Linked DNA regions of Callithrix jacchus. The protein of the gene in region 1 purifies or fractionates together with the protein of each later gene. This does not show direct contact. Links are inferred from orthologs where the notes say so. Each region holds a gene or a part of one and is shown in the gene's direction. Other genes may lie near its edges. The genes, in order: CAPZA2, TWF1, MTCL1, WASHC5, CNOT1, KIAA1671 and TNKS1BP1.

Region 1 (4,074 bases):
GTTTGGCTTTTGGTTTTTTTTGTTTTTGAGTCTTGCTCTGTCGCCCAGGCTGGAGTGCAATGACTCGATCTCGGCTCACTGCAACCTCCCCCTCCAGGGTTCAAGCAATTCTCTTGCCTCAGCCTCCCAAGTAGCTGGTACTACAGGCATGTGCCACCATGGCTTGGCTAATTTTTGTATTTTTAGTAGAGAGAACTTTCTCCATGTTGGCCAGTCCGGTCCCGAACTCCTGACCTCAGGTGATCCTCCCACCGAGGCCTCCCAAAGTGCTGGGATTACAGGCCTGAGCCACTACACCCAGCCCCAGCTGTTCAATGTATGTTTGTTTAGAGTAGTAGGTGAGCTTCCTAGAACAGAAGTTTGTCTTATTGAAATAAATAGTTTTGGAGTACAGGTGGATTTTTGGTTACATGGATAAGCCCTTTAGTGGTGATTTCTGAGATTTTAGTGCAGCCATCACCTGAGCAGTGTACCCTGTTCCCGGTATGTAGTCATTTATCCCCTCCCCAATCCCCAAAGTCCATTTTATGCCTTTGCACCCCCAGAACTTAGCTCACCCTTTTAAGTGAGAACATAGGATATTTGGTTTCCTATTACTGAGTTACTTCACTTAGAATAATGGCTTCCAGCTCCTTTCAAGTTGCTGCAAAAAATATTATTTCCTTCTTTTTTATGGCTGAGTAGTATTCCATGGTGTATATATACCACATTTTCTCTATCCCCTCGTTGGTTGATAGACACTTAGGTTGGTTCCATCTCTGCAATTGCGAATTGTGCTGCTATGAACATGCATGTCTAGCTTGCTTTGGGGGAACCTCAACACTGTAACCCCGGAGACTAACACAGTGCCCCACACCCCGTTGAAGGACCAAAAAATATTTGTTGGATAAATAAGAAATATATCAAGAGCAATCTTTCAATTATGGAGCGGGTTGGGTGTGTGTATTTTAATGAAAGCCGACTATTTTTTCTAATATTTGAAAAACCAATGTTTAAAAAGCTTCTATTGCACACCTTTTCACATTTTAGCTAGCAGAGTTCAGGACTTGATGGAAACATAACGAAGGGCTCAGAATGTACTCATCGCAGACTGAGCCCATATGGTCACTGGTGGGGAGAGAAAGCTAGCAAACCTATGCAGGTGGCCCTGGGAGACACCGTCCCCCGCCGGGCCACCAGGCGCCCGCGCACGCGCACGCGCACAGCCGCGCTCAGGCTCTGAGGGCCGGTCGAGGGAGGCGGGGCTCCCGGGGCGCGTGCGCGGCGGCCTGAGCGGCGGGCCCCTCCCTTAGCGGGGGTGCGCGGCGCGGAGGACCGCACGGAAAAGGGGAAGTCAGGTGGCCGCCGCCGCCGCCGCCGCCGCCGCGGTTTGTCGCTAGAAGGAAGATGGCGGATCTGGAGGAGCAGTTGTCTGATGAAGAGAAGGTAAGAGCCGCGGGGGCGGCGGCGCGGGCCTTCAGGAGCCGGCTCAGCCCTGGCTTGTGCGCCCGGAGTCGGGTCGCTGGGGAAGCATTGGCCCGCAGCGGGCGGTGCCCTCGGCTGCCCTTCCTCCCCCCTTCCTCACTGCGCCCAGTGCCTGCCCCCGTCCGTCACCCGAGGCCCCGCGCGGGGGCAGGTCTCAGCCAGGCCTACTCACTCCGCTCCTTGTAGGGTGTGTGCTCCGAAAATAGGAAAGGGGAGCCAGGCGGCGGCGGGCGGGGGCGGGGGCGCGGGCGCCGGGGAGGGCGGCGGCCGCCCGGGACCCTCTCCTGTTACCCGGCCGCGGGGCCTGCGCCGGGAGCTGGGGGCCGGGGGCCGGGGACCGGGGACCGGGGGCGCAAAGGGGTCTGCGTCCCGGCTTGGGAGCGGCCCAAGGGCAGTGCCCAGAGCGGCAGCCTGGCCTGTGAGTGTAGCGGCGGGTGAGGGGAAGGGAAAAATTGCTTAGGAAGCAGACCTTCAGTTCTCCCTTCTACTTCCCCCTCCCCAAAGCAAAATGCTTCCTTTTCTGATTCTCTACGTTTTATGCTTTTTTTTTTCCTTTCCCCATGGAGGCCTGTCTCTCTCCCGCCCGCCCGCCCTCTCACTTCGTGGCTCTAGCTTTAGGCTTTGCAGCTCCCATGTTCCTCAAGAGGCAGTGGAGTTGCTCACAAAAAGACGACCCCCTCCCCATAGTTGTTTTCTATCCACGTTGGCAGCAGCCCCCCCGGGGGGCGATTTGATGGCACCTTACCTTCCTGCTAGGACTTCTTCCGAAGAGGGGAAATTGTGCAAGTCCTTTTACTGTATGTTAGATGCTGTGACAACACTGGAACCAGGTGAACGACATAAGTTCTCAGATATTTAAAACGAGAAATCGAATAATTCATTGAACTGTTGCTCTTTTACACTCTCCTTTCCTTTGGCTTTTGCGAACGTCCGGTTCCCGAGGGTAGTGGGGTAGGGGAGAACTCTGCTAATTTTGACAGTTTCTCGGAAAGGAACCTGAGGTTTCTCAAACTTAGAAGTACTCCCGAAGTAACTGACAGACACGAATGAGTTAGTTGCAGGGTTGGAAATGCTCTTTAACTCTTCGTTAAAGTGTGCTTCATTTTTAAGTTCCAAAGCTGTATAGCCAATGCAGGAAAATACAAGTACCTTTAGGTACGTTGTGGTGGTTAACAGATCCTCACGTAAGTTTGAGGATATTTTCAATTTGGACCCTCTGCTCTAGATGTTTTTATATACTGTATTCTTGCACTGAAAGAGAAGGTTCCGTCCCATTCCCGATGTGAATGGGCAGAAGTCAATCTCATCTTTATTTTGGAAATATTTTTTCCTCTTGTGCTCTTTGGTGAAAGTGATAATACAGCAACAAAATGGGGGTGAGCAACATCTCCATAACCCCCAGTAGGCAGATCCCTGTATCCAGAAAAGTTGCTGTGCAGTATTCACGTCTACAGTCTTGGTAAATAACCCAAAGTAGCTGTCCGAAAATGCACTGGAGTGCACAAACACATATTTAAAATTGAGTTGTGCTAAAAAGTTTAAAAAGAGATTGTCACGTTTTTATTTTACCATTCTTAAGTCGTAATTAGTAGTTGCTCAAGTGGCTAGAAATTTAGCTGAAGAGAGAATACTGTGTGGGAGTTAATATAGACCTGCCATGTGTTGTAAAGGCCTAAAATTAAAAAGCTTTTAAAAAATGGGTTTACAAAATTCCTTATTATCCAGCAGTCTCAGGGCACTAAGCTTCATGAGGAGGAGTGAGGAGGTTGTGTGTCTTCAAGCTTGCGCCGCCTACTAGCAAAATGTTTTATGGGTAAATTAGTGAAAATTCTAATTTGATTTTTGGTGTTTTGTAAGAATATTCTGTAGATATTATACATATAAATTTCATCACTATATTTACTAATTAAAAAACTGACAGAACTTTTGGGGTAAATGCAAGTAACCAGTTAAGTGAAATTTTAACGTTCTTGTCACTTTAGATATCTAAAGGTATTTTTCATTTTGGGGTGGAGGATGTGTCCAGTATGGGATCAGAAACAGAGAGGACTTGAAAGTGATATATTAATATTTCTCTTTCTACCGTCTTTTTGGTAATTTTCAAAAATAAGTTCTCAAGCTGGACACAGTGGTTTGCACCTGTAATGCCAGCTACTCTGGATGCCAAATGCGGAGAATTGCTTGAGCCTAGAAGTTGTAAACCAGTTGGGCAACATAGTGAGACCTCATCTCTAAAAAATAATAAGTTTTAAGTTTTCGAAATTTCCATTCTAGATTGCAAATCTAAGAAAGGGAAGCTGTTAAGATGTATCTAGTACTATACTTTATATATGCTTGGCTGAGTTAGATACATTCATTACTTAATTTGTTTTAAGAGGTAGTTGTCCTACTACCATTTCACAGATGAGTAGAGTGAAGTTCAAAAGCTTTTAGTAGGCCGGGCGCGGTGGCTCAAGCCTGTAATCCCAGCACTTTGGGAGGCCGAGGCGGGTGGATCACGAGGTCAAGAGATCGATACCATCCTGGTCAACATGGTGAAACCCCGTCTCTACTAAAAATATAAAAAATTAGCTGGGCGTGGTGGCGCGTGCCTGTAATCCCAGCTACTCG
Region 2 (4,260 bases), on another chromosome or scaffold:
TGGTGGCTTTTGGGGTGGTCCCAACCTAAATGGACATCCCTCTTCTTCAAGACTGAACATACAGTGGTCTTTCCCAAGCATGAATATGGAAGAATTATATTTCTGTCATCAGTACTTCTGAGCAAGGCCAACCTTCTTAAGCAACTTCCCTGAGGCACCAGGATATGAATCAGTCAAAACACTGCAAGTGAACAATGCAATTTTCTCTCTGCTCAGCAATGTAGTTAAAAACTGGCAAATCAGGGTGAACCATTGTGTCAGGAAGAATTTGGTTAGAATGAAACTCCTCCCTATATTTCTTAAATCCATACAAGTCATAAAACTCAGATTAAATTTAGTTTATTCCTGAATATGAGGGTATGTCTGAAAAACAGAGCTCAGATAATAGGGAATAGAACATAACCTTGTTTCCTGTGATCCTTGTAAAGAAAAACAATTGCAGGCCTGTTAATCATTCATTAAAAAGACATTGTATAGTATTTGAACACTGATTAACTTGCACTTATATTATTGACCTGAATAAATTACTTGTTCATTGGCAGATTATAATTTTGTGTGTCAAGGCCCCCAAAATAAGAACTAGCTTAGTTCTGCACCTAGTAGCAGAAGAGAAGCAGTACCAAAAACAAAACAAAACAAAACAAAAAACCAACCCTCAAAAACTAACATTACCCTTCAGAGGGAAACGTTTTTAAAAGCAGGATTGGAAAAGATTTTTAAGTAATATCTGCTGTTACCTTACAAATCTGTCCAAGTGAATTTTGAATAATTATTGGATTAAACAATAAACAGTCAACCTAAAGCAAAGCAGTAAAATAGTATAATCGACCACAGAGGAATACTCAAATCAGCTAATCTCTCTTAGTGGCTGTCTCTTTTTGGAATGAAGAGATAGATACGCTAGGTCTCTAAATGTGTCCAGCTGAAAAGAAAAGTTAACAGTCTGAGATTAACTCAATTAAAATCGTGGAAAAATTTGATGAGAGACAGTTTATAGTATATTCGTTCTTTTAAAACAATGGAGCAAGGAGAAGGCTTTTCTACACTAAATGGTATCGATTATAGAAAGAGTAAACCAAAAACGATAATGTGCACATCTTTTTCAAGCTGAAAAATGCCTGTTTGATAAAATGATCATTTCCGTTTTTGAGCATCCCTTTGCTGAGTAGCGAATGGCGCGTCGGCGGGGTCGCTAGAGGGCAGACGTCGGAGCACTGAGATCTCTCGGTTCTGCGGCATTTTCCCCAGGAGAAGCCGGAGAAGCGACAGCAAGAGCGGAGGCAAGACCCTAGGCAGAGAACTAGGGTCGCGAGGCCGGGGGTTGGACAGCAGCAGATCGGCGGGTCGCTCTGGCACGCAGTCGGCCTCTCGGGGCGGGGCGGCCGCAGGTCGCGGACGGATGACGCGCCGGGGCGGGCGGAGGAGCAGCCACTTCCTGGAGCCGCCGGCCGGGGCCGCTCGCTGCACTCAGCTCCGGAGCCGGGAGCCAGCGGCCGCCGCCATGTCCCACCAGACCGGCATCCAAGGTAACGGCGCCCGGCGCGACCCGCAGGGAAGGGGCTCCCCAGAGGCTCGGGAGAGCCGGGTGGGCTGCAGGGCGGACAGCGCTGGAGTCGGACCCGGAGCTCCGGGAGTCTGCCTCGCGGGGCGAGCCGGGCCTCAGTGCTGCTCCGTGCTCCTGCTTCCCTGGCGCTCCCGGCCTGCGTCCTCTTCCAGCCCGGGCCCTGCTGCTGCCACGTTGCAGATGGACCCGAAATTCGGAGGAGCGAAGGAAATTGGATTTCGAGGTGGCCTGGTTGAAGGGGGCGTGCCCTCCACCGTCCCCGACATTAGTTCAACTTTCCCCCTTTTGGTCAGGTAGGGAAGAGCTGGGACAGTGAGGGCGACTGGGGCTTCCCTACGCTGTCGACAGCCAGGCAAGTTTTCCTTTTCGTGGTGCAAAAGAGAATGTTACGGGACTTTGATTACAGAAAGAAACACGCCAGAATCTTTCTCATATCAGTAGGAGTGCTTCCCAAAACTCTCCGGCATTTTCTTCCCAAATAGGAAAGTGAATTATGTTCTGAGAAATCCCGGGTGTGGAGTGTGTTTTGATCTTTAGGTACTCCCCAAGGGAAACTGAAATCCTGATCTATATGGTTGCACGTAATCATCGCGTGCAGACAGTTGAACGTGCAGTTATATCTGACCTCCATTATTTCCTGGTTTGAAATTGGGCAGTCTAGAAGTGCTCACCTCATCAAGAGTCAAATAATATATCCCCGGGTTACTAGCGATCACTTAACGAGTTCTAGTATAAACTCAAGCTCCTCCTGTCAATTACGAGTTCTCCTAGATGAACACTTAATTGCATGTTTTATTCTTAAAAGATTTTTCATACCACCCCACACATCCCTCTGCACGCATGCACTCACAAAAACAAAGTAGTCTCAAATCTGAAAGCATTGTTTTATTTATCCGTATTAATTTCGATATGTAAATATATAGTTACTGACTTTCATGCTTGAGCCTTATAGCAAGCACTACCTACTTAAATAGTGGTTTCTTGCTGTTAATAGACAACACAGAAATGAAATTAGAACGAAACTGAAGTTTTACTGGAACACAAGTGTTAGTTATTAAATATATATTTATTCAATGAGTTTAATCTAGCTTTTGAGAAATCCACGTTAGAAAAATATAACCTGAAGTAAGATTGAATGCATTTCATTGCCTTTTCTTTAGTCAAGTTAGGATATTTGATATATACTGTTGTTTTTAACGGGAAAATAAAGTGAACTGATGAAGAAGGTGGCTATCATAAGCTTGAAACTGAATTAGAGAATGAAAGCAGGTTCTCAGTATTTTTCCAAAGAGCAATACAAGTTTTTCAAAATTGTAACTTGCTCATTATTGGGTTTGAGTAACTTCAGTATGTTCATCCCTGTGTTATTTCTGCTACAAAATTATGTAGCTAAAACAGATTCAAATTATTAGCATACTTTAAAAATGTTTATATTTCTTAATTGTATAGTCTTCATTATTTTATGCCATTAGTTTTATAATACTGATAATAAGGATGCTACATGCTCCAGATTTTTTCTTTGTATTCTAAATAATTTTTTCCCATATAGATAGCAAAGTATTCATATGTAAGTATTAAAAGTTTACTTTCTTTATCTTTTTTCACAGCAAGTGAAGATGTTAAAGAGATCTTTGCCAGAGCCAGAAATGGAAAGTACAGACTTCTGAAAATATCTATTGAAAATGGTTAGTTAAATATTTTAAAATATTTTTTGTTCCTGGATTAGTGGCTGTTGTATTTTTAAATTTACTGTGTGTTGTCAGTGATTTGAACTATTAATTAATGTGAAACAAGTTCAGATATTACCTTACGGTAACTTGGATTCCTCATATATTGTGCAGGTCCCTATGGGCCCCTGATTTCATTCTCAATTCTGTGACTATCAAGGAAATAGATGTTTTTTGATGTGACTTCTTCCTCTTTTACTTTTTGTGTCTCAGTTTCTGCACTACAGTCCATTTCTAATGTCAGTGCTTCCATCTGTGGAATGGAAATCAGTAAACAGGTGATTATCAAAAACAATAGTTACTTGTGAATTATTCGGTAAAGTTTGTTTTGAAATAGAAACAAAGGATTTCAATCTCCCATTTTCTTCATTTGATTGCAACCTTTGCTACAGAAATGATCATTACCCTTTCTTGTTTTGGGAAAGTTCTGAGACTATAACAAACTACAAATTGATTCTTTAAAAATAATTCTTTAAGCAGGGAATCTGGTTGAGTGGTAGAATTTTTTAAGTCAGGCAGATCTGAATTTGAACAATTTCTGTTATAGCTACTCAATCCCAAAGAATATGTTAAAATATTCCAGTGGCCTAACTTCTTAAGTATCTGGAAATATTTTGCTTTGGAAAAGTAATTTGTTCTTTCACAAACTGGAATTAAATCTAATTGGTTTTCTGTTTTTTTGCTTATATATTAAAACCAGAATAGTTTATAAAATATGCATTTGTTTACAAATAACATTCAATAGGAGTATAGTATATTGTAAAGCAGCATATTTTAAAAATACTGGGCCAAAACTTTAAATGCCATCATTTCCTAAGTGACTAAGGAATTAAAATGGAAAAGTTAATCTAGCATCTCTAAGGAAGGAAAATGCCACTATTTCCTAAATTATTATTTTCTAGTTTTACTTTTTGTTTTGTGAAAATTTTTAAAAAAGGAAAATTCCAAAGACTAAAATCATAAATACCT
Region 3 (4,084 bases), on another chromosome or scaffold:
TACAGTTTGCATGGTGTGTCTGGTATTTGCTCAATGTTCACACACACTCAGGTGGCAGTACGTTCTAATGATGCAGGTGAGGGAACTGGGGCTCAGAAAGGTGTAGTGCTTTGTGCATGGGAGACTCAAGTGTTAGAACCGGTGCCGAGGCTCCAGGTTATCTGAGAGGAAAGCTTGCAGGACTCGGAATCCTGTGGACCTGGGTGTAAACACTCTCAGCCAGGGACTGGGTGAGGCATCGCAGGCAAGCGACTTTACCTCCCTGCGCCGGTGCCCTCCTCCTTACCGAAGACAGCAATTCCAATCCGGGATTGTGGTGAGGCTTAAATAAAACAATGCCCATTACGTGGCCAGCAGGCCTGGCTCACAGCCGGAACTATAAATGTGAGTTCTCTTTCTGACCCTCGGCTTGGCGAGGGCTCCTCCTGTTTCGGCAGCAGCTCCTCCTCCTCTGAGCTCCTGAGGCCACGGGGGTGCCAACTGTGGAGCGCCTGCCGTGCTCGTTCTGACGCGAGAGCTGCGTCGAGTACCAGCGATCCTTAAGGAGCGCGGGACCAGGGGCACAGCTTGGAAAGGACAGCGGGGGAGGGGACCGGGCTCGGGGAGGCGGGCGGAGGATGGAGGGGCCTGAAGGGGGCGTTGTCAGCCGCGGCACAATCCTTTCCCAAGTGGGCGCCGCCGCCCCTTACCACTTCGCCTCCGCCTCTTCCCCTCCTCCCGAGCTCCTGGCCGCGTCTCTAGGGCCTCAAAAAGAAAGGAGGGTCCCCGGAAAGGCGTGTGGACCCAGCCTACGCCTGCCCCCAAGGGCCAGCTCTGCCTGGTGCCGGCCCCGCCCCTGCCCGGTGCCCGCCCCCGGGAAGCGCAGGCCCCGCCCCTGCCCTCGCCCCTCCCCCCGCACGGCGCCGGCTGGCAAGAGGCGGGGCATGCGCACCGGCGGCTGGCGAGGGCGCTGGGCTGTGGGGCGCGCGCGTGCGGCTTCCCTCAGCCGGGAGCGGCGGGGGCGGGCGCGGGCCGGCGGTGGGCGGGGTGCGGGACGCGGGAGCCGGGTGCGCGCCACGAGCACCGCCGCGGCACCAGTGACCGCGAGCCCAGAGCGCGGGGTCCGGGCATGCAAGCGGCCGGGAGCCGCCGCGCTGCTGAGCCGCGGGAACTCGATCCGCGGTGACCTCAGCTAGGGGCTAGCGCGGCGGCGGCGGCGGCGAGCCCCACGGGAATCCTACGGGCCGGGGTGCGGGGCGGGGGTGGGGTGACGGCGGGAACGCGGGGCGCAGCCCGGGCGGGGCTGAGACAGTGATGAGCGAGCGCGCGGGGAGGCTGCACGCCGCCGCCGCCGCCTCCCGGAGCATCTGCCGCCCGAGCTGCTGCCCGCGGACCCGGCCATGGAGACGCTGAACGGCCCCGCGGGCGGAGGCGCCCCGGACGCGAAGCCGCAGCCGCCGGGCCAGCACCACCGCCACCACCACCTCCACCCGCTGGCCGAGAGGCGGCGGCTGCACCGCGCGCCCTCGCCCGCCAGACCCTTCCTCAAGGACCTGCACGCCCGGCCCGCTGCGCCGGGTCCGGCGGTCCCCTCCTCCGGCCGAGCCGCGGCGCCCGCCGCCCTGCGCTCGCCCAATCTCGCGGGCAAGGCACCTCCCTCGCCGGGGTCCTTGGCGGCGCCCGGCCGCCTCTCCAGGCGCAGCGGCGGCGTCCCGTGCGGGAAGGACAAGCCCCCGCCGGGACCTGGGGCCAGAACGGCGGGCGGTGCCAAGGCTGCCTTGGGAAGCAGGAAGGCGGCGCGCGTGGCGCCCGCGGAGCCGCTGTCCCGGGCTGGGAAGCCTCCTGGAGCCGAGCCGCCGCCCGCCGCTACCAAGGGCCGCAAAGCCAAGCGCGCCTCTCGGGCGCCCCCCGCCCGCACCATCGGTCCTCTGACCCCGGCCGCCCGGATCCCCGCCGTGACCCTCGCGGTGACCTCGGTGGCCGGCTCCCCGGCTCGCGGCTCGCGCATCAGCCACACCGACAGCAGCTCCGACCTCTCCGACTGCCCCTCCGAACCCCTGTCGGACGAGCAGCGCCTGCTGCCTGCAGCTAGCAGCGATGCCGAATCCGGCACGGGCTCCAGCGACCGAGAACCCCCGCGAGGAGCGCCGACGCCGAGCCCGGTAGCCCGGGGAGCGCCGCCGGGCAGCCCCGAGCCCCCCTCGCTCCTCGCCGCGCCTCTCGCCGCCGGCGCCTGTCCCGGGGGCCGGAGCATCCCGGGCGGGGTTTCCGGGGGATTCGCGGGGCCCGGCGCGGCGGAGGATGCCAGGGGGCGCGCGCCGCTGGAGCGACTCCTCCCCGGGACCCCCAGGGAGCCCAGCCTGGGCGAGCAGCCTCGACTCGTGCCGGCGGCGGAGGAAGAGGAGCTGCTGCGGGAGATGGAGGAGCTGCGCTCGGAGAATGACTATCTCAAGGTGAGCCGCGCCCCGGCGGCAGGTATTCCAGGGCGCCCTGGGAGGGCCTGGCTGCGGCGGGGACCCACCAACCCCGCCTTCCCGGGCCTATCCAGAGCCTTTTCCCTCCGGCCTTCCACGGTCCTGCCCTCGCATTGTCAGGCATTGGGAACTTAAGCCCAAACTTCTGGAAGGAGCAGCAAGACCTGCGGGTCCCCTCCAATTCACAACCCACTTCGCTTTTGTCACATCCAGAAGTCTTGCGTCTCTTCGCTGATTGTTTTACTTTTGTTGACCTGTTGGGGCAGAGGAGGCTGTAGTCGTCTTGGGGACATCAGCCGACACCCCCATCCCCGCTGAGACGTGCCAGCCTCACCTGTGGGAACAGGTGATCTTTCGCCAGGGATCTCTGGCCTGGCACTTGCCGGTGTGGCGGTTCAGGACGGTGACACGGAAGCGGGGGCAGGCCCTGCTGCGGAGCCGCCCACCCCCCTCTCCTGCAATTACAGAAAGAGCTGGGGGCCCTTAGGGTCTCCTGGGCTCCGACAGCCTGGGTAGAGGGACCGAGTCGTTTTCGGTGGTCAAGATGAAGTTCAGGAGAGGTTCCTGGAACGTGGCTGGGTTGAGGAGTAGCGGTGTTGTGCGGGCCAGTCCTTTGTAAGCACCCAGGAGCCGGCTTTCTGTGTCAGGAGAGGCCACGCCAGCACTTTCTAAGGAATCGCTGCGCCTGCTGCATTCTGAGTATTTTCCCCAGGGCCTGCAGGCAGTGGCCTCTTAGTCTCCTTAGCACTGGGTGCTTAATCCGGCTCCATCTTTTTTCCTTGGTATGGGACTGGAGCTACATACTGGGTTCCCGGGGTTAGAAGGATCCAGGTGACTTGAGAGAAAATAAGGAGAGTCGTATTGATGGCAACTGTTTTATTTATTGCAATCCTCAGGTTAGTAAACTACTCTAGTGGCATAAATCTGTTTATCTGTTAAGTCTTAATGAGCAGCCTCCAAACCCAGCTTCTTCAGTGGGTTGTGTTATTTGAGTTGTTTTCTCAGCAAATGATAAGCCTAACCACTACGGGCCCAGTTTTTGGCTAGTGAGACTGAGGATTGGGTTTTAAGGTAGATGGTGGTGAAGTATGCAGTTCACAGGGAAATCAGAGGACATTAATTGCTGGGTGGCCTCCAAGCCTAAATTTCTTATGGAGCTGCTCCAACCAGCTGAGCCCTATTTTACTTTTTGCAAGAAGTAACAGTGAGGCACAGAAAGAGAGCTGGTAAAAGATGGACTTACTGCAAGATGTTTCAGATAGTATGGTTGCTATTGCTTTCCTCACTTACTCTTAGGTAATAGACAACAGAGTGAAGTTCAAAGGCAACTATGTTTTGAGTGACTCCATCATGAAAGCAGCACTTCTGTAAATCTTCAACAAATGTAAGCTTTCTGAGGGTGACAAGATAATCTTGTTTTTGTATCCCCTCCCCCTAGCATAACCACTGACTTACAAGATTTCTGATTGAATGGTGTTTATCCAAGTGACTGCTATGCAAGGGAAAATTGAGTTCTATAAAGAAGCTTCTCATTATATTTTGGTCTTAAGGTAGGCAGTCCATCATTTCAAAGTTCATTCTTGGTGCAACTGGTTATTTGCTTTATTTTTTCAAGTTGTTAGATTCTCAAT
Region 4 (4,093 bases), on another chromosome or scaffold:
GTTACAGAAGCCCAAATTGACTAAGACACCAGCTTTCATCGCTTGGTTTAAGTGGTTCTCAACCAAGAAAGATTTTTACCCTTCTCCCAACGGACATTTAGCAGTATCTGTAGACATTATGGTTGCCATCTAGTAAGCAGAGGCCAGGGATGCTCGTAAACATCCTACTATACACAGGACAGCCCTCATCACAACCCCACAGCAAAAAAGAATCTAGCCTAAAATGTCAATAGTGCGTCCGGTTAGAATAACTGGTTTAAATCAATCTCTCTTGGATGTCTCCCCAGCTAATAACACTGATCTTTTCTTCCCGGTACCTATGATCTCCAAGAAAGTTTAGAACAAGGTTGTGCATTTCCTGAGTTTTTTCTCTGCATGTTATTTATAGACAATATGCTGACTTCCTTTAAATCCGTGGGAGCCTTGTACAAGTCAGCAAGAGCTGCCTCTTCTTTTTCAGCATGCAAGGATATACCCCTCTCTGAATCCTTCTCTCATACAATAGCCTGTTCCTTCCCTCATGCTACCATTATCCGTATCACATGCACATACTCTTACTATGAAACTCATCACAGCTATTTGCTCACATGTCTGCAGCTACTTTATTCTGAGAACTTCTTAAAACTAGAACCCTGATATATGCTACTGCATATAAAGCAGTTTCTCACACAAAATGGGGGATCAATAAAGATTCGGCAAGTTACAAAAATAACAACAGACTTCATCATTTCTAGGTCACCTAGAATGCCATAAACTGGTGTCCCGGCACTTCATTCTCCTTATCGCCAATTCTCAGCGCAATCTACATAAGCGAAGAGGAAACAGATCCAGAGAGTTTATTCAAATGACCTGCCCTTGGCCTTGCTTTTAAAGTCAGTTCAAACTAGATCTATTTGGATCAAAAAATCTGTGGTCTTGCCCCTACCCTCCACACCTGGGGCTAAAGGATGGAGATGGCGTCTCGGACAGGAGGGTAAACTGTCCCAGACTCACTACTGTGGCGTGAAAAGTGCCACAACCATAATCCAGGTCGAAGGACCCCCGGCTCAGGGTCCCCGTGGAGCGCCCCGGAAGGAGGCGACAACTCCCGCCACCCTCCCCAATGCTGTCCCCCGCTTCTGCCCTACCTGGCTGCCTGAGCTGTCTCCGTCTGGTGCCACACCGACTTCCCCCACCTGGACCCACCTCCTTTCCTCATCCCCCTTCGCCTACCTCTGTAAAGTGAGCGCGGGCTCTTGCGTCATCAGCCGTCGCCGGCGAGTGATCACATGACGTCCCTCCCTGTTCCCCGCCGCTTCGGTCATGTGACAGCCTTGGGCGTCAGGGGGCGGAAGCAGTACTCGGACCCGCTCCTGGTCGGGGACTGTAGGTAGAAGAGGACCGTCACCGTGAGGGAGGGGTGAGACCAAGGTGCGGACTCGGCGCGCGACCGCCTGCCCTGCGCGTGCGCCGCTGGCGCGGCCCTGCTGACAGGTGAGTGGGGATGCGGTGCCCGCTCCCCGTTTTTGCACTGTCCTCTTCCCCTCCCCGCTGTGCCGCGCTAGCCACAGGGAGGTTTGCAGCGTCGCATGCAGTCTGGGTGGGAGACTTGGGATGGAGGGCTTAGGAGTCTTCTGGGGCGGGGGCTGCAGTCCAGCTCTTCGTCTCCGCTTGGGGGAAATCATTTTGCACACCCCTTCCTCGCTTTAGGAAGCGCCGTTCCGCTGCTTGGTCCGAATCTCACCCTCCCAAGTTTCCGGGAACACTGCTGTGTGGATATCGTCGTTATTTCTCTATTTGCTATTGAGAAAATTGAAAGGCTAGTGAGGACTTTTACAGTCTGACGGGCCCAGGTTTGCATTCTAGTTATGCCATGGGCTGTGAGTTTGGGCAAGTCATTGCTGTTTGCTGCGCCTTAATGCCTTCACCTGTGACAGACTGATGCCAAAATCCTCTTTATTTTGGGGGGAAAAAAAGTTCCCAGGGTCCTGATTCCTCTATGATCGGACAGGAAAAAGAAAAAAGTCACAGAGCCATGCAACTGGGTCTCCTGATTGCAAGTGTATGGAGCTCCTTCAAACATCAGCAGGAGGTAGTGAGCGAGAAGTTTTACTTACTGTCTTTGTGCACGAGAGCCACCTTCTCTAATTGTCCTTCACCTGCCTTTCCCATGATTTCAGGATCAGCCTCATTTCAGAACTTTTCTGGAAAACATATGCAGCTTGCATTTATCTTGATCAACAACCATTATATTTTGTTTGTGATAATGTATTTATGGAGATTAGTGCTTCCTTTATGGAACTGAGGTTTGGCGAAAGGCTTAAAAATAAGAACTGCCTTCTTTTATCCTCTGAATAGGGTAAACAGTGTTTTCCCACGACAGTTGGATTTCCTTAAGAAATATTGTTCTGTACTCTGAGTAATTGGTGTAATAATGCCATGCTTCATTCTTGAAAGCATGTCTTTTGATTAGGATTGTCTCCCAAACTGAAAATCACAGTTCCATGCCAAATTCTTAAAAATGAAGTTACCGGCACTCTAACTTGTAAAAAAAAAATATATATATAGTGGGATCTCTGGTTCCATTTGATGCCAATGGTAATATAGCCTGTATTGAGAAAACTGATCTTTCAGAGTTTTCTTAATCCCTAGCACCAAGAGAACCTCTGAAAGGATAATTTAGCATTGCTTCTTCTACAGTGTTTATTTGGACCTAATTCTAAAGCGGTTTTTTAAGACTTAACTGAGTCATAACACTTTGTAAAGCTATCCACCTACTTCTTAGGTAGCTGCAACTTGCTTAGGCTTTTTTTTTTTTTTTTTTTAGATGGAGTCTTGCTCCTGGGTTCAAGGGATTCTCGTGCCTCAGCCTTCCGAGTAGCTGGGACTATAAGCATGCGACAAGACGCCCAGCTAATTTTTATATTTTTAGTAGAGACGGGGTTTCACCATGTTGGCCAGGATGGTCTCAATCTCCTGATGTGATCTGCCCACCTTGGCCTCCCAAAGTGCTGGGATTACAGGTGTGAGCCACTGCTCCTGGCTAGGCATTTTTAGTGATGATTCTTAGATTCTGTTCTTCACGACTAGTACTTCAACCAACTGAGGGCTATTTACCAGATACTCTAGCCAATTATATTTGTGCAAATCATGGAAATTCCATTTGTTACATGGAAAATATAACTAGTCCAGGTTAGGAGGTCTAGTACATAAAATGTAACTAAGTGATTTCCTTCTTTCAGATAATCTTGTTTTAACCCCTTCCATCTTCAAAAACTTAGCAGGAGATACTTACACTATTAGAAATAGAAAACACAAGTGCTCTTCATGGGGCAAAAGAGATTACAAGCAGTGAGTTCATTTCAGTAACTTTGTTAAATATAATTCATATTTTGCTTTGGCATTAAAAAATTTAATATAAAGTTTATATATAGAATTTTAGAAGGTGATTCACCTAGGTATTAAAGACCCATAATATTTGTTTTACTATTGCCAAACATACTTGATTATTATTACCCTTCTCATGTTCCTTTAAAGTCATCTACAGTATAATTCTAGAGTAAGGGCCTAAGGATTAAAATAGGAGATTGACATATAAAGGCCTTGATTTCTGCCATTATCCCAGACTGAAGCTTCCCTCAATGTGTGCATGCAGGTGCTGAGTCTGTCTGTCCTTCTGTATGTTGGGAGAGAGTAGAGTCAAGGGCAGGTAATGTTACTTTGCTTTGAGATGTTTTTCCCAGGGACAGTGTTGCCCTGTCATGGTATCCAAAATCTGGCAGCCATTGGAACTGTTCATCATAGCTTCCCCTCCTCTTCATGAGTCTAGATCAAGGGTTTCCAACCCAAGGCCTGCAGGCCACATGTGGCCCAGGATGGCTTTGAATGTGGCCCAAGACAAATTTGTAAATTTTCTTAACACATTTTGAGTTTTTTGCAGTTTTTTTAAAGATCATCAGCTATTGTCGGTGTTAGTTTATTTTATGTGTGGCTCAAGACAATTCTTCTTGCAATATGGCCCAGGAAAGCCAAAAGATTGGACACCCCTGGTGTAAAGTTTTATCCTACTTAGACCTGCGTTAGTTTGGTGGTCTTCGGAGGGCTTTAATAGGTG
Region 5 (4,091 bases), on another chromosome or scaffold:
GTCTCGATCTCTTGACCTTGTGAACCACCCGCCTCGGCCTCCCAAAGTGCTGGGATTACAGGCGTGAGTCACTGCGCCCGGCAAATTTCATGTTTTTTACCATCATTTTTTTTTTTTTTTCAGTATATATTTTTTTTTTTTCAGTATTTTTTTTGGCACAAGAGGTAATATGAGACAGATGGCCAGGCGATCACCTGCTAAGCCTAGCCTGAGAGCAGGGGTGAGCAGGGGATAGGTTTTAATTTCAAAAGGTAATAGAGTTAACCAGTCAACACTTCCTTCCAGTCCTTTCTCTTTTGGGTACAGGTGAGCATAAAATCTTACCAATTATCATAGTTAACAAACAAACCATAGCAAAATATGTCTCTATGCTTTTCCACTTGAGAGCAAAGGACATGGGTATCCTTTCTTAGACGGCTCCTAGGACTTAAGCCAGGAAGAACACTTGTGTTTCCTTCAATAGGCAGAATTAAAAGAGAAAATTCCCTTGACGAAAGCGAAGCAAGCGAGGACCAGGTGGCCACCTGTGTGACTACATCCCCCAGCATGTACTGCTCCTTCTAGGGCGCAGCCAGTGACGGAAGAAGACGCGGTACTTCTCCGATGAGAACAGGGTAGGGAAGCGCGACTACATATCCCAGGATGCAAGGCGCCCCAACTCTAGTCACTATCTGACTTGCTTTCTGGCTGGTGTTCCCCGCCAAAGGGACACTAGGGGGGCGGAATGTTTCGGTTGGTACTCCCCGAAGTCTACTGGACTGTGACATTTCGAAAGAGAAAGGAAAGTGGAGGAAGGCTGTTTCACTGTAACTCAAAGTAGTTCCTGCACAAAGTGGCGAGGAGCTATGGGTCCTTTCCATAATTTATTGTTCCTCAAAGGCAATGCCAAGCGCCACTGGTCGCAGCCCTCCAGGGCAGGTAGGAAGTCCATGAAGCCCCAAATCGAAGTTATCAGCGTCTCTCTATTGGCCCTCGCCTCGAGCGCAGGCGCGAGGGCTCCGACTCAGGTCCCCTGGGCCTGGTGAGCGGCAATTGGCTACAGTCCACGAAGTAGAAGTCTGGATTGGTAGTTGCTAGCAAAAGCCTGGTTTCTTCCTCGACTTCTGCAAGTGATAGAGTGTGATTGGTTTAAATCCGCGGGTAGCTGTCGGTGATTGGGCGGGAGCCACAGGCGGGGCGCGGCCATTGGCTGGCGCTGGGACCATCCCTCCTCGGGCGGGCAGCGAATGATGAAATGGGAACGGGGAGGGGAAAGGCCGCGACGTGAGCGCGCGACCTCCGGCGCCATTTTGTCGAGAAACAAGCGGAGTTAACCGAAGAGGGGGTTGAGGAGAGCTGGAGTCGGGGACCCAGGAGTTTCCTGTGTTCAGCGCTGCTGGAGCCGTCTGAGGTGAGGCGGGCTGGCGTCAGGGCCTGGGGTACGGTGGCGGTGTTAGCTTGGGGACGCCAGTGCCAGTGGGAGGAGGAACAGGGGTGCACCTGGGGCCACTGGAAGCGTTTCCCGGAGCTCCGGGGAGTGAGAGGCAGCCGGGACGGGCAAGTGGGGCGAGGCGGGAGACGGCTCTCGGAGGCTTCGCGCTCTGAAGATGAGGCCAGCGAGAAGGCTCTAGGAAGCGGAGGGTAGAGCGCGGGATGAGACCCGGGGTGGCCTCTGTCCCGGGCCTGGAGGCTCAGGGGGCGGCAGTGGCGGCAGTTGGTGTCGCTGGGCCTGGCTTCGCGCGGGTTGCATCCTCCTGAAACCCCCCCACGACCTCCTCAACTACTCTTTCTCACTCTGCACCCGGATGGGTGCAGTGGGCATCGGCTCCCGAGGCCTAGCGCTTCGGATGGGGGGAACGGTGTTTGGAGTTTTTGCACGTTTCCAGTTTTTCTCAGTGTGCTCGGAGCTGCCACTCTTCCCCCTCTTACGCCCCCTGCACATTGTCAAAGCCCCCCATGTTTCGGGTGTCCCCGGATGGGAAGGGCGGGCGGGAGCGAGCACTTCCTTATTACTTGCCACAGGTTTTGTTCCACTAGCGCGCCCGGGCGCTCACACTTTCTTTGAAGTCGGCCCCCACCTGCTCGGTCCGGTGTCTGCAATAGTGGCGGTCCTGTTCACCCAAGACAAGTGTCCCGCTAGTGAGCTGAGCACTCATAGGCCTGAAGGCTGACGAGAGATCCTCTGCAGGTCTTGTAGAGGTACTTAAGGCCAAAGACAAATAATACTTTTTTCAGTACCACCCTCTGCAGAATTCACCCAACAGGGCTCACAGATACTAACTCCGCAAGGAGTAAACTTTGTAGATGAAAAAAGAATGCTTGATATCTGTGCATTTGAAAATGTTATATTTAAAATAAACTTTATGACAAACTTTTCCCCTAAAGTTAAATGTCACGTTTCTTAGGACTGTAATAAATTAAAGGCAGTTTTCTTCCTGAAAACTGAGTAACAATAGTTAATCTCCCTGCCTGTTCCTCGACAATTTGATCGCCTGTGACTACTTGGATTTTTTTTTTAAGTGTATAATTGAGTAAATACAAGTAAACTTTTTGAAAAAAATGCTGAGCGTTTTCCTTATGACAGTCCCTTTGATAGGAATAGGGAATACATGGATTAAGAAACTGAGGGAGGGCAAGTAAAATATTAGGAAGAAGATCAAACAGATTAAGAACAAATTTTCTTTTTCTTTTTTTCGAGACGGAGTTTCGCTGTTGTTACCCAGACTGGAGTGCAATGGCACGATCTTGGCTCACCGCAACCTCCACCTTCTGGGTTCGAGCAATTCTCCTGCCGCAGCCTCTCGAGTAGCTGGGACTACAGGCGTGCACCACCATGCCCAGCTAATTTTTGTATTTTTAGTAGAGACAGGGTTTCACCTTGTTGACCAGGATAGTCTTGATCTCTTGACCTCGTGATCCACCCGTCTTGGCCTCCCAAAGTGCTGGGATTATAGGCGTGAGCCACCGCGCCCGGCCTCAAATTTTATTTTTCTAGAGGTACTTGGATTTAATAGTTAAGTGGTCTGTGGTCCAGGTTTGTATTCCTACCCAACAGAGGATTTTAGCTATTAAGAAGGTAGGTTGTAACAGTTTAAATAATTACGTTTTAGGACACTGCGAATTGTTACCTTGTCTAAGGAGAAAACACATTGATGATACATGGTTTTAGGTGGCTAGCTGTGCTTTGACTGAAATGATGACATGTTGATAAAACTTGTTTGGAGAGTTGGTCCCTTTTCAACAAATATGGGTCTTCTGAGTCTTAGTGGAAATAAGTCTAGAATTGATTGGGTGCTGTGGCTCATGCCTGTAATCCCAGCACTTTGGGAGGATGAGGTGGGTGGATCACCTGAGGTCAGGAGGTCGAGACCAGCCTGGCCAACATGGTGAAACTTCATCTCTACTAAAAATACAAAAACTGGCCAGGCGCAGTGGCTCACGCCTATAATCCCAGCACTTTGGGAGGCCAAGACGGGTGGATCACGAGGTCAAGAGATCGAGACCATCTTGGTCAACGAGGTGAAACCCTGTCTCTACTAAAAATACAAAAATTAGCTGGGCATGGTGGTGCACACCTGTAGTCCCAGCTACTAGGGAGGCTGAGGCAGGAGAATTGTTTGAACCCAGAAGGTGGAGGTTGCGGTGAGCCAAGATCGTGCCGTTGCACTCCAGTCTGGGTAACAACAGTGAAATTCTGTCTAACAAAAAAAAAAAAAAAAAAAAAAAAAAAAAGATCAAGACCATCCTGGTCAACATGGTGAAACCCCGTCTCCACTAAAAATACAAAAATTAGCTGGGCATGGTGGCGCATGCCTGTAGTCCCAGTTACTCGGGAGGCTGAGGCAGGAGAATTGCTTGAACCCAGGAGACAGAGGTTGCAGTGAGCTGAGATCGTGCCATTGCACTCCAGCCTGGGTAACGAGCAAAACTCTGTCTCAAAAAAAGAAAAAAGGAAAAAAAAAAATACAAAAATTACCTGGGTGTGGTGGCAGGCACCAGGAGGTTGAGGCAGGAGAATTGCTTCAACCCCAGAGGTGGAGGTTGTGGCCAGCTGAGATTGCACCACTGTACTCCAGTCTGGGTGTAAGAGTGAGACTCCGTCGTCCCCCCCC
Region 6 (3,500 bases), on another chromosome or scaffold:
AGGCATGAGCCATTGTGCCCGGCCAGATGTTTCTCTTTTTATTAAGAATGTGGGCCGGGCGCGGTGGCTCACGCCTGTAATCCCAGCACTTTGGGAGGCCGAGGTGGGTGGATCACGAGGTCAAGAGATTGAGACCATCCTGGCCAACATGGTGAAACCCCGTCTCTACTAAATCCAAAAAAATTAGCCAGGCATGGTGGCACATGCCTGTAATCCCAGCTACTTGGGAGGCTGAGACAGGAGAATCGTTTGAACCCAGGAGGCGGAGATTGCCGTGAGCCGAGCATGCACCATTGCACTCCAGCCTTGGTAACAAGAGCGAAACTCCGTCTCAAAAAAAAACGACAACAAAGAATGTGAAGGCGGTCAGCATAAAATGTGTTTTCATAAAAAAGAACCACAAAACAAACAAGAGCAGGTTTAGTGAGAAAAATCAGAATGGCTTTTTTAAATGGCAGCTGGAAGGGTGAGGGATGGGAAAGAAAAGAGACTAAAGGATGATTGGGTGGGGTTGGTGGCAAGGGCATGGGTTCAGGTCACTAACCAGCTTTGTGCTCCCAGACACTCCTGAGCTGCACTGCTGTGTGGCCTGCAGCAGGTCACTTGCCTTCTCTGTGCTAGATGCTTAGCACACGCTTGTGATGAGGATCACCTGGGATGTGGGCAGGCTCTGCAGTGGGAAGACAGGGTAACAGGAGTGAGGGAATGTGAGGACGCTCCCACTGAGGCTTTTGCAGGGAGTGTGTGTGGTGTGAGTTTGGCGTCAAACCTGGTTTCAAATCCTGACTACAGCTCTTGTTTCCTGGGTGACTCCAGGCCAGTTACTTGGCCTCTCTGAGCTGGTTTCCTTGTCTGTATAGCAGAGATCACTGCTTTTTGCCTTAGTGCTGGCCTCTAGATGTGCTGAGTCAGGGAAAAGTCCTCCAGCCAGTGTTGATGCCTTTTCTACACTCTCGGAGCTGGAGCGCACTTCAGGGATGGGCATTTAGTCCACTTCCCTCCTCCAGAGCTCAGAGATGGGGAGAGGCAGGCCCAAGCCTGCCCAGTGAGGTCAGCGGAGGGCTGTCGTATGGAATCTGGGCTCAGGACTCTGAGGACTCTGTCCCATGCCTCCAAACCATTCTGCTTCAACCCAGACGCTGACTGTTTGCCAAATGTACTTTCTTGTTTGTTTCGTTTGTTTAGCAATTGCCTCTCCGTTCTCGACGTTCCTAAGCCCCATGGATGCACGACTGTAGCCATGGCCACGCGGGTGGAGGTGGGCTCCATAACGCCCTTGACGGCGGTGCCAGGCCTGGGTGAGATTGGCAAGGAGGACACCCTGACGAGGACCTACTTCCTCCAGGCTGGCGATGCCTCTGGGGCTCCCCCAGCCCGGATCTTGGAGGCGAAGAGCCCCCTGCGGAGCCCGGCCCGCTTACTCCCTCTGCCAAGACTCACCCCCAAACCCTTCTCGAAGGAGCAGGACGTGAAGTCTCCTGTCCCATCCCTGCGGCCCGGTTCAACTGGACCTTCTCCCTCTGGGGGGCCCTCTGAGGAGCCAGCAACAAAGGATCTGGACAAGAGGATGCCCGGCTTGGTGGGGCAGGAGGTGGGCAGTGGGGAGGACCTGAGGGCAGGCTCGTCCCTCTTCAGCAAGGCTGTGTTCCTGGGTCCCGGCTCCAACACCATGATTCTCTTCGAAACCACAAAAAGCGGCCCCACTCTGGGGAAGGTGGTCAGTGAGGGGGCTGAGGAGGCCAAGCCGGGTATGTCGGGCTCCCGGCCCGAGGTGGCCACCAAGCCCGCCCTGCCCACCCGAAAGCCTGTGGGGACTCTTCCCCGGTCAGCTCCCCCTTCACGGGACATAAAGCTGCCTATACCCCAAGAGGATGCAGGCCAAGACCAGCCTCCCTCCAAGGCCAGCAGTGTGGAGGACACAGCACAGCCCACTGTGGAGCCCAGGCCTCGCCTGAAGAGAAGGCCCGTGTCCGCCATTTTCACGGAGTCCATTCAGCCTCCAAAGCCAGGCCCCAGCGCGGTGGCCACGGTGGGCAAAGTGCCCCCCACCCCTCCGGAGAAGACGTGGGTGAGGAAGCCCAGACCCTTGTCCATGGACCTCACGGCCCGCTTTGAGAACAAAGAGGCCTTGCTGAGGAAGGTGGCCGATGAGGGAAGTGGCACCACAGCAGGGGACACGGCTGGGCTGGAGAGACCCAGAGCAGAGCGCAAGCTGGACCAAGAGTGTTCAGTCAAGGCAGAGGCTCCTCTTCATGATCCTGATTCGGACTTCTTGGAGGTGGCCAAGAAAATCCGTGAACGGAAAGAGAAGATGCTTTTGAAGCAGGAGACGGGCAGCCCCAGAGCTCCGGGGGGCTCCGCCAGGGTCACCCCCAGCAATGACCAGCATCCCTGGGAAGAAAAGGCCAAGATGGACCTGGAGCCAGAGAAGGCTGCTGAGTCCCCCTTGCCCAGGCTGGGAAGGGGCCTAGAACTCGCTGAGGTTAAGAGCAGGGCAGACGATGGGGAGGCCCCGGCTCCGGCAGGGGGAGAGTGGGTCTCCAGGGGGAGTGTCAGGAAGTGCATCAGCCTGTTTCGGAAGGACAGCACCTCGGCCTTGGCAGTGGGGTCTGAACCCCCTCTGGCTACCCCTGCATCCCCATCAGTGGCACCAGAGATGGAGAAAGGGGTTGTGAGCGTCCAGGAACGGATCAAAGGCTGGGCTGCCGAGAGCTCCGAGGCCAAGCCTGAGGTCAGGAGGAGGACATTCCAGGCTCGGCCGCTGTCGGCAGATTTGACCAAATTGTAAGTAGGCACATCCCACACTCCTGTCTCAGTCACCCACCCAGAGCCCCTGAGGAAGAGGAAACCAGGCTCCCTGCTGGGCACCTGCCGCCCCCCTCAGTTCACCCGTAGCCCAAGAGGAGGTAGCGGCAGTGTCCATTTCTCAGATGAGGAAGGAGCGACACAGAGAGGCAGTGTAGCTCCCCTCTGGGTGTGGCCAGCCAGGGGGCCCAGAGCTCAGTTGTCGTGGCTTTTCTCAGCTTCAGATGTACTGTGTGATTGAAGGCGGAGCTATGTGCCCACGTCACAGAGGCAGAGCAGAAGGGCGAAGTACCGTGAGGAGGTGGGAGCTGGACGTCACTCCAGCCCAGCCGTAGCTAAGCCTTTCTTCTCTAGAGTCAGAGAGAACACTTAAGATTAGGCCTAAGCCTCTGTGAGTGGCCCAGAAAATAAACTCAGGAGTCAAGGTAATTTGGGCAAGTCAGTTGGTTCATGATGATATTCTATGGCGGTCGGTTAGTGATGATACTCTAAGTCAGTTCGTTAATAATGATATTCTAAGTTTCTAAGTCAGTTGGTTAGTAAATGATTTTGTTTTGTTTTCTTTTTTGTGGTTGTTGAGACTGGAGTTTTGCTCTTGTTGCCCAGGCTGAGTGCAGTGGCACCGTCTTGGCTCACTGCAACCTCCGCCTCCCAGGTTCAAGGAGTTCTCCTGCCTCAGCCTCCCAAGCATCTGG
Region 7 (3,500 bases), on another chromosome or scaffold:
GTGACCCTAGCTCTGGCCGAGACCACCGAACCCAGGACAGAGGCTCAAGACTCCTGTAGGGTGTCCCCCGAGCCTGCGGGGCCTGAAAGCAGCTCCCACTGGCTAGACGACCTCCTGGCTTCACCACCACCCAGTGGTGGCAGTGCACGGCGAGGAGCTGGAGCTGAGCCGAAGGATGCACAGTCCCCAAGTACCTGCTCCGAGGTGAGGATGGGCATAGGGAGTGGGGGGCTTCTGGGGACAGAGGCCAGGGCTTGGGTGGGCTTCATTCTTTGAATGTGGATTTTACGTGTCAAGAGCTTGGGCTGTGGTAGCGAGCAGGGCAGCTGTGGACCTGCACATCGTAGGTCCTCAGAGCCACACGGGATGGTGTGTGGGGTTTCGTGTAAGGCTCTATCCCAGCTCCAGCACCCGCTAGCTGATTGGTCTTGGGAAGAATGTACCTTAACTGCTAAGCTTCAGAGTCCTTCCATGATAGCACTGGCCTCTGAGAGTTAAATCGCGGGAAACTGAGAGGTGGGGAGCTCTGAGTATGGTATGTGGCAGGTGCGGAGTATTCAGTCTTATTATGGCAATGTTATTCAAGGCACAGTAGTGTAGCCATTTAGAGTGTGGGCTCCTGAGTTCGTCTCCTGGCTCTACTGTTCCTTTGCCCAGGTGTGACCTTGAAAGAGCGACTTTTCTGCCCTCTGCCTCAGTTTCCACATCTGTAAACCGTGGATCACAAGATGAGCTCTACCCCCGAGGGTGTTGGCAAGGGTTCAATGAGTTGTAATGTCTAAAGTGCTAAGAATAGCCCTTGGCTCATCCTAAGTGCTTAATAAGTGTTGGCTTTTACAAACGTTATTAACATTGAGCTCCAGACCTGCTTTGTAGACAGGCAGCTGGGGCTTAGAGGAGGTGAGCCTTGTGCAGTTACCCAGCAAGTTGGTGGCTGGGCCTAGGCCAGCGCTGTTTCCCTGCCCGATGCCCTTTCTCTTACCAGGCTGCCTCTGAATTTAAGGGCCAGGGGCCAGGTGGCTTTTGAAATTTATTTCTCAGGCCAAGCCTGGGCTGGAAGGGGCGGAGCTGCAGGGGGCCTCTAGGGGCTGGGGGGCGGGGAGGAGGAGGAGCAGGAAGGGGTTAAGCTGACTCCTGCAGTAGGTGTGTCTGTCCCGGGATGTGGGTGACTCAACTGACTCCTGGGCGGGGCTGCCCGATGTGCAGCTGCTCCGGAGGGAGCAGGGCCAGGGTGAGGGAGAGCCAGCGCCAGAGCCGTCGGACAGGTCCCAGCTCGGGGAGCGGCCCAGCCCTGTCCCTGTGCCTGGCTGGCCGCACCCAGCAGCCCCAAGGCGGGCGGGGGGCGGGGGGCGGGGGGCCATGGCCCAGCCTAGGGATGGGGAGGCCAGCATGTCTATCCTGGAGCGGCTGCTGGCCAACGCAGCGCTGCGGGATGAGGCTGGCCGGCTCCGAAGCCCTGAGCCCAGGACTCTCCCGCCCACAAGGGTGAGTCAGGGAGAGTGAGGTGGGGGGTGGGGCGCAAAAACCCCGGGCTGGGATTTCCCCCTGTGCCACAGGCTGCCCCTCCTGTCTTTCCTGAGCCAGGGTGAAGGCTGAGAGGTCTTCCTGGGGAGGACTGGGCAGACAGCACTTTCGTTGGGAAGAAGGGCCTGGGTACTTACAGGAGGACGGGGTCGGATGGGGCAGGGGAGCGGATGGGCTGGAAAAGCTCTCACTGGTGTTGGAAACTTGCTGTGCAAGGGAGGTCACAGAGGCTTTGAATCTTGACCTCTCCTAATCGAAAGGAAAGCGCCCTCCCCGCCATTCCTGTGTGAAGACCACTCCTCTCCTGGCTGTTAGCCAAGTATTGCCCAAGGGTTGTAAACATGACCATGGGACCATCGATTGAGTGCCCACTGCATGCCAGGCACTGTGCCGAGTGCTTGGTCTAAATGATCTCATTTAATCCTCTCACACCAGCCCCATGCAGAAGGAATTATCCTTGTTTGAGGATGAGGCCGCTGAGGCCCAGAGTAGTTAGGTGATTTGCTGAAGGTCACACAGCTTTCTGTTGCCAGGGTGGGGTTCTCAGGCACTGGGCAGCATGGACCTTGCCGGATTGACCCCCCCACACCCCGGTTGAATCTAATCATTGTTTCTTTGTCTGTTTTTTTTTTGTCGTTGTTGTTATTCCCAGGGACTCCTTGGCTGGTCCCAGAAAGATCTGCAGAGTGAATTTGGGATCACAGGAGACCCACAGCCCAGCAGTTTCAGTCCTTCCAGCTGGTGTCAAGGTGCTTCTCAGGACTATGGCCTTGGGGGTGCAAGCCCTAGAGGAGACCCAGGCCTCAGAGAGGGTGACTGGACCAGCAAGTATGGGCAAGGAGCTGGGGAAGGGAGCACCAGGGAGTGGGCCAGCCGGTGTGGCATCGGCCAGGAGGAGACGGAGGCCAGCAGCAGCCAAGACCAGAGTGAAATGACTGCTCCAGGGGGCCTCACAGCCCAGGACCGGGTAGTGGGAAAGCCAGCCCAGCTTGGCAAGCAGCGGAGCCAGGAGGCAGATGTTTCGGACTGGGAGTTCAGGAAGAGGGATTCCCAGGGCACCTATTCCAGCCGGGATGCAGAACTCCAGGACCAGGAATTCGGGAAGAGAGATTCACTGGGTGCTTACAGTAGTCGAGATGTAAGCCTTGGGGACTGGGAATTTGGGAAGAGAGATTCTCTGGGTGCTTATGCCAGCCAAGACGCCAATGAGCAGGGCCGGGATTTGGGGAAGAGGGACCACCATGGCAGATACGGCAGCCAGGATGCTGATGAGCAGGACTGGGCGTTTGAGAAAAGAGATGTGTCCCTCGGCACCTATGGCAGCCGGGGTGTGGAGCCACAGGAACAGGAGTTTGGGAAGAGCGCTTGGATGAGGGACTACAGCAGCGGTGGCAGCTCGAGGACCCTTGACACCCAGGACAGAGGCTTTGGAACGAGACCCCTGAGCTCTGGGTTCAGCCCTGAGGAAGCCCAGCAACAGGATGAGGAATTTGAGAAGAAGATTCCGAGTGTGGAAGACAGCCTTGGAGAGGATAGCGGGGATGCTGGCCGGCCAGGCGAGAGAGAATCAGGGGGCCTGTTCAGTCCTAGCACTGCTCACATGCCAGACGGGGCACTCGGGCAGAGAGACCAGAGCAGCTGGCAAAACAGTGATGCCAGCCAGGAGGTGGGAGGGCAGCAGGAGAGGCAGCAGGCAGGGGCTCAGGGTCCTGGCAGTGCTGACCTGGAAGATGGGGAAGTGGGGAAGCGAGGCTGGGCCGGTGAGTTTAGCCTCAGTGTTGGCCCCCAGCGAGAGGCAGCATTTAGCCCAGGGCAGCAGGACTGGAGCCGGGATTTCTGCATCGAGACCAGTGAGAGGAGCTATCAGTTCGGCATCATTGGTAATGACAGAGTGAGTGGTGCTGGCCTGAGCCCTTCCAGCAAGTCGGGAGGTGGTCACTTTGTGCCTCCTGGGAAGACCACAGCTGGCTCTGTGG

The links.
Region 2: the proteins of CAPZA2 (region 1) and TWF1 purify together in Homo sapiens (affinity purification with mass spectrometry; 3 studies listed by BioGRID and IntAct, with this or other methods). This does not show direct contact. The link is inferred for Callithrix jacchus from reciprocal best matches to the Homo sapiens genes CAPZA2 and TWF1.
Region 3: the proteins of CAPZA2 (region 1) and MTCL1 purify together in Homo sapiens (affinity purification with mass spectrometry; 3 studies listed by BioGRID and IntAct, counting the BioPlex papers as one, with this or other methods). This does not show direct contact. The link is inferred for Callithrix jacchus from reciprocal best matches to the Homo sapiens genes CAPZA2 and MTCL1.
Region 4: the proteins of CAPZA2 (region 1) and WASHC5 purify together in Homo sapiens (affinity purification with mass spectrometry; 3 studies listed by BioGRID and IntAct, counting the BioPlex papers as one, with this or other methods). This does not show direct contact. The link is inferred for Callithrix jacchus from reciprocal best matches to the Homo sapiens genes CAPZA2 and WASHC5.
Region 5: the proteins of CAPZA2 (region 1) and CNOT1 purify together in Homo sapiens (affinity purification with mass spectrometry; 3 studies listed by BioGRID and IntAct, counting the BioPlex papers as one, with this or other methods). This does not show direct contact. The link is inferred for Callithrix jacchus from reciprocal best matches to the Homo sapiens genes CAPZA2 and CNOT1.
Region 6: the proteins of CAPZA2 (region 1) and KIAA1671 purify together in Homo sapiens (affinity purification with mass spectrometry; 3 studies listed by BioGRID and IntAct, counting the BioPlex papers as one, with this or other methods). This does not show direct contact. The link is inferred for Callithrix jacchus from reciprocal best matches to the Homo sapiens genes CAPZA2 and KIAA1671.
Region 7: the proteins of CAPZA2 (region 1) and TNKS1BP1 purify together in Homo sapiens (affinity purification with mass spectrometry; 4 studies listed by BioGRID and IntAct, counting the BioPlex papers as one, with this or other methods). This does not show direct contact. The link is inferred for Callithrix jacchus from reciprocal best matches to the Homo sapiens genes CAPZA2 and TNKS1BP1.

The regions. Positions count from the first base shown.
Region 1 is NC_133512.1:87,439,940-87,444,013, forward strand, and holds the start of CAPZA2 (F-actin-capping protein subunit alpha-2), read left to right. Parts: upstream 1-1,274; 5' UTR 1,275-1,386; coding exon 1,387-1,425; intron 1,426-4,074. UniProt on the Homo sapiens protein: F-actin-capping proteins bind in a Ca(2+)-independent manner to the fast growing ends of actin filaments (barbed end) thereby blocking the exchange of subunits at these ends.
Region 2 is NC_133510.1:31,724,201-31,728,460, forward strand, and holds the start of TWF1 (twinfilin-1), read left to right. Parts: upstream 1-1,460; 5' UTR 1,461-1,501; coding exon 1,502-1,526; intron 1,527-3,171; coding exon 3,172-3,249; intron 3,250-4,260. UniProt on the Homo sapiens protein: Actin-binding protein involved in motile and morphological processes. Inhibits actin polymerization, likely by sequestering G-actin. By capping the barbed ends of filaments, it also regulates motility.
Region 3 is NC_133514.1:54,360,533-54,364,616, reverse strand, and holds the start of MTCL1 (microtubule cross-linking factor 1), read left to right. Parts: upstream 1-1,284; 5' UTR 1,285-1,379; coding exon 1,380-2,432; intron 2,433-2,787; exon of another isoform or gene 2,788-3,339; intron 3,340-4,084. UniProt on the Homo sapiens protein: Microtubule-associated factor involved in the late phase of epithelial polarization and microtubule dynamics regulation.
Region 4 is NC_133517.1:72,278,386-72,282,478, forward strand, and holds the start of WASHC5 (WASH complex subunit 5), read left to right. Parts: upstream 1-1,293; 5' UTR 1,294-1,473; intron 1,474-4,093. UniProt on the Homo sapiens protein: Acts as a component of the WASH core complex that functions as a nucleation-promoting factor (NPF) at the surface of endosomes, where it recruits and activates the Arp2/3 complex to induce actin polymerization, playing a key role in the fission of tubules that serve as transport intermediates during endosome sorting.
Region 5 is NC_133521.1:16,470,718-16,474,808, reverse strand, and holds the start of CNOT1 (CCR4-NOT transcription complex subunit 1), read left to right. Parts: upstream 1-1,291; 5' UTR 1,292-1,390; intron 1,391-4,091.
Region 6 is NC_133502.1:195,971,519-195,975,018, forward strand, and holds part of KIAA1671 (uncharacterized protein KIAA1671 homolog), read left to right. Parts: intron 1-1,185; 5' UTR 1,186-1,240; coding exon 1,241-2,784; intron 2,785-3,500.
Region 7 is NC_133511.1:114,880,011-114,883,510, reverse strand, and holds part of TNKS1BP1 (182 kDa tankyrase-1-binding protein), read left to right. Parts: coding exon 1-204; intron 205-2,176; coding exon 2,177-3,500.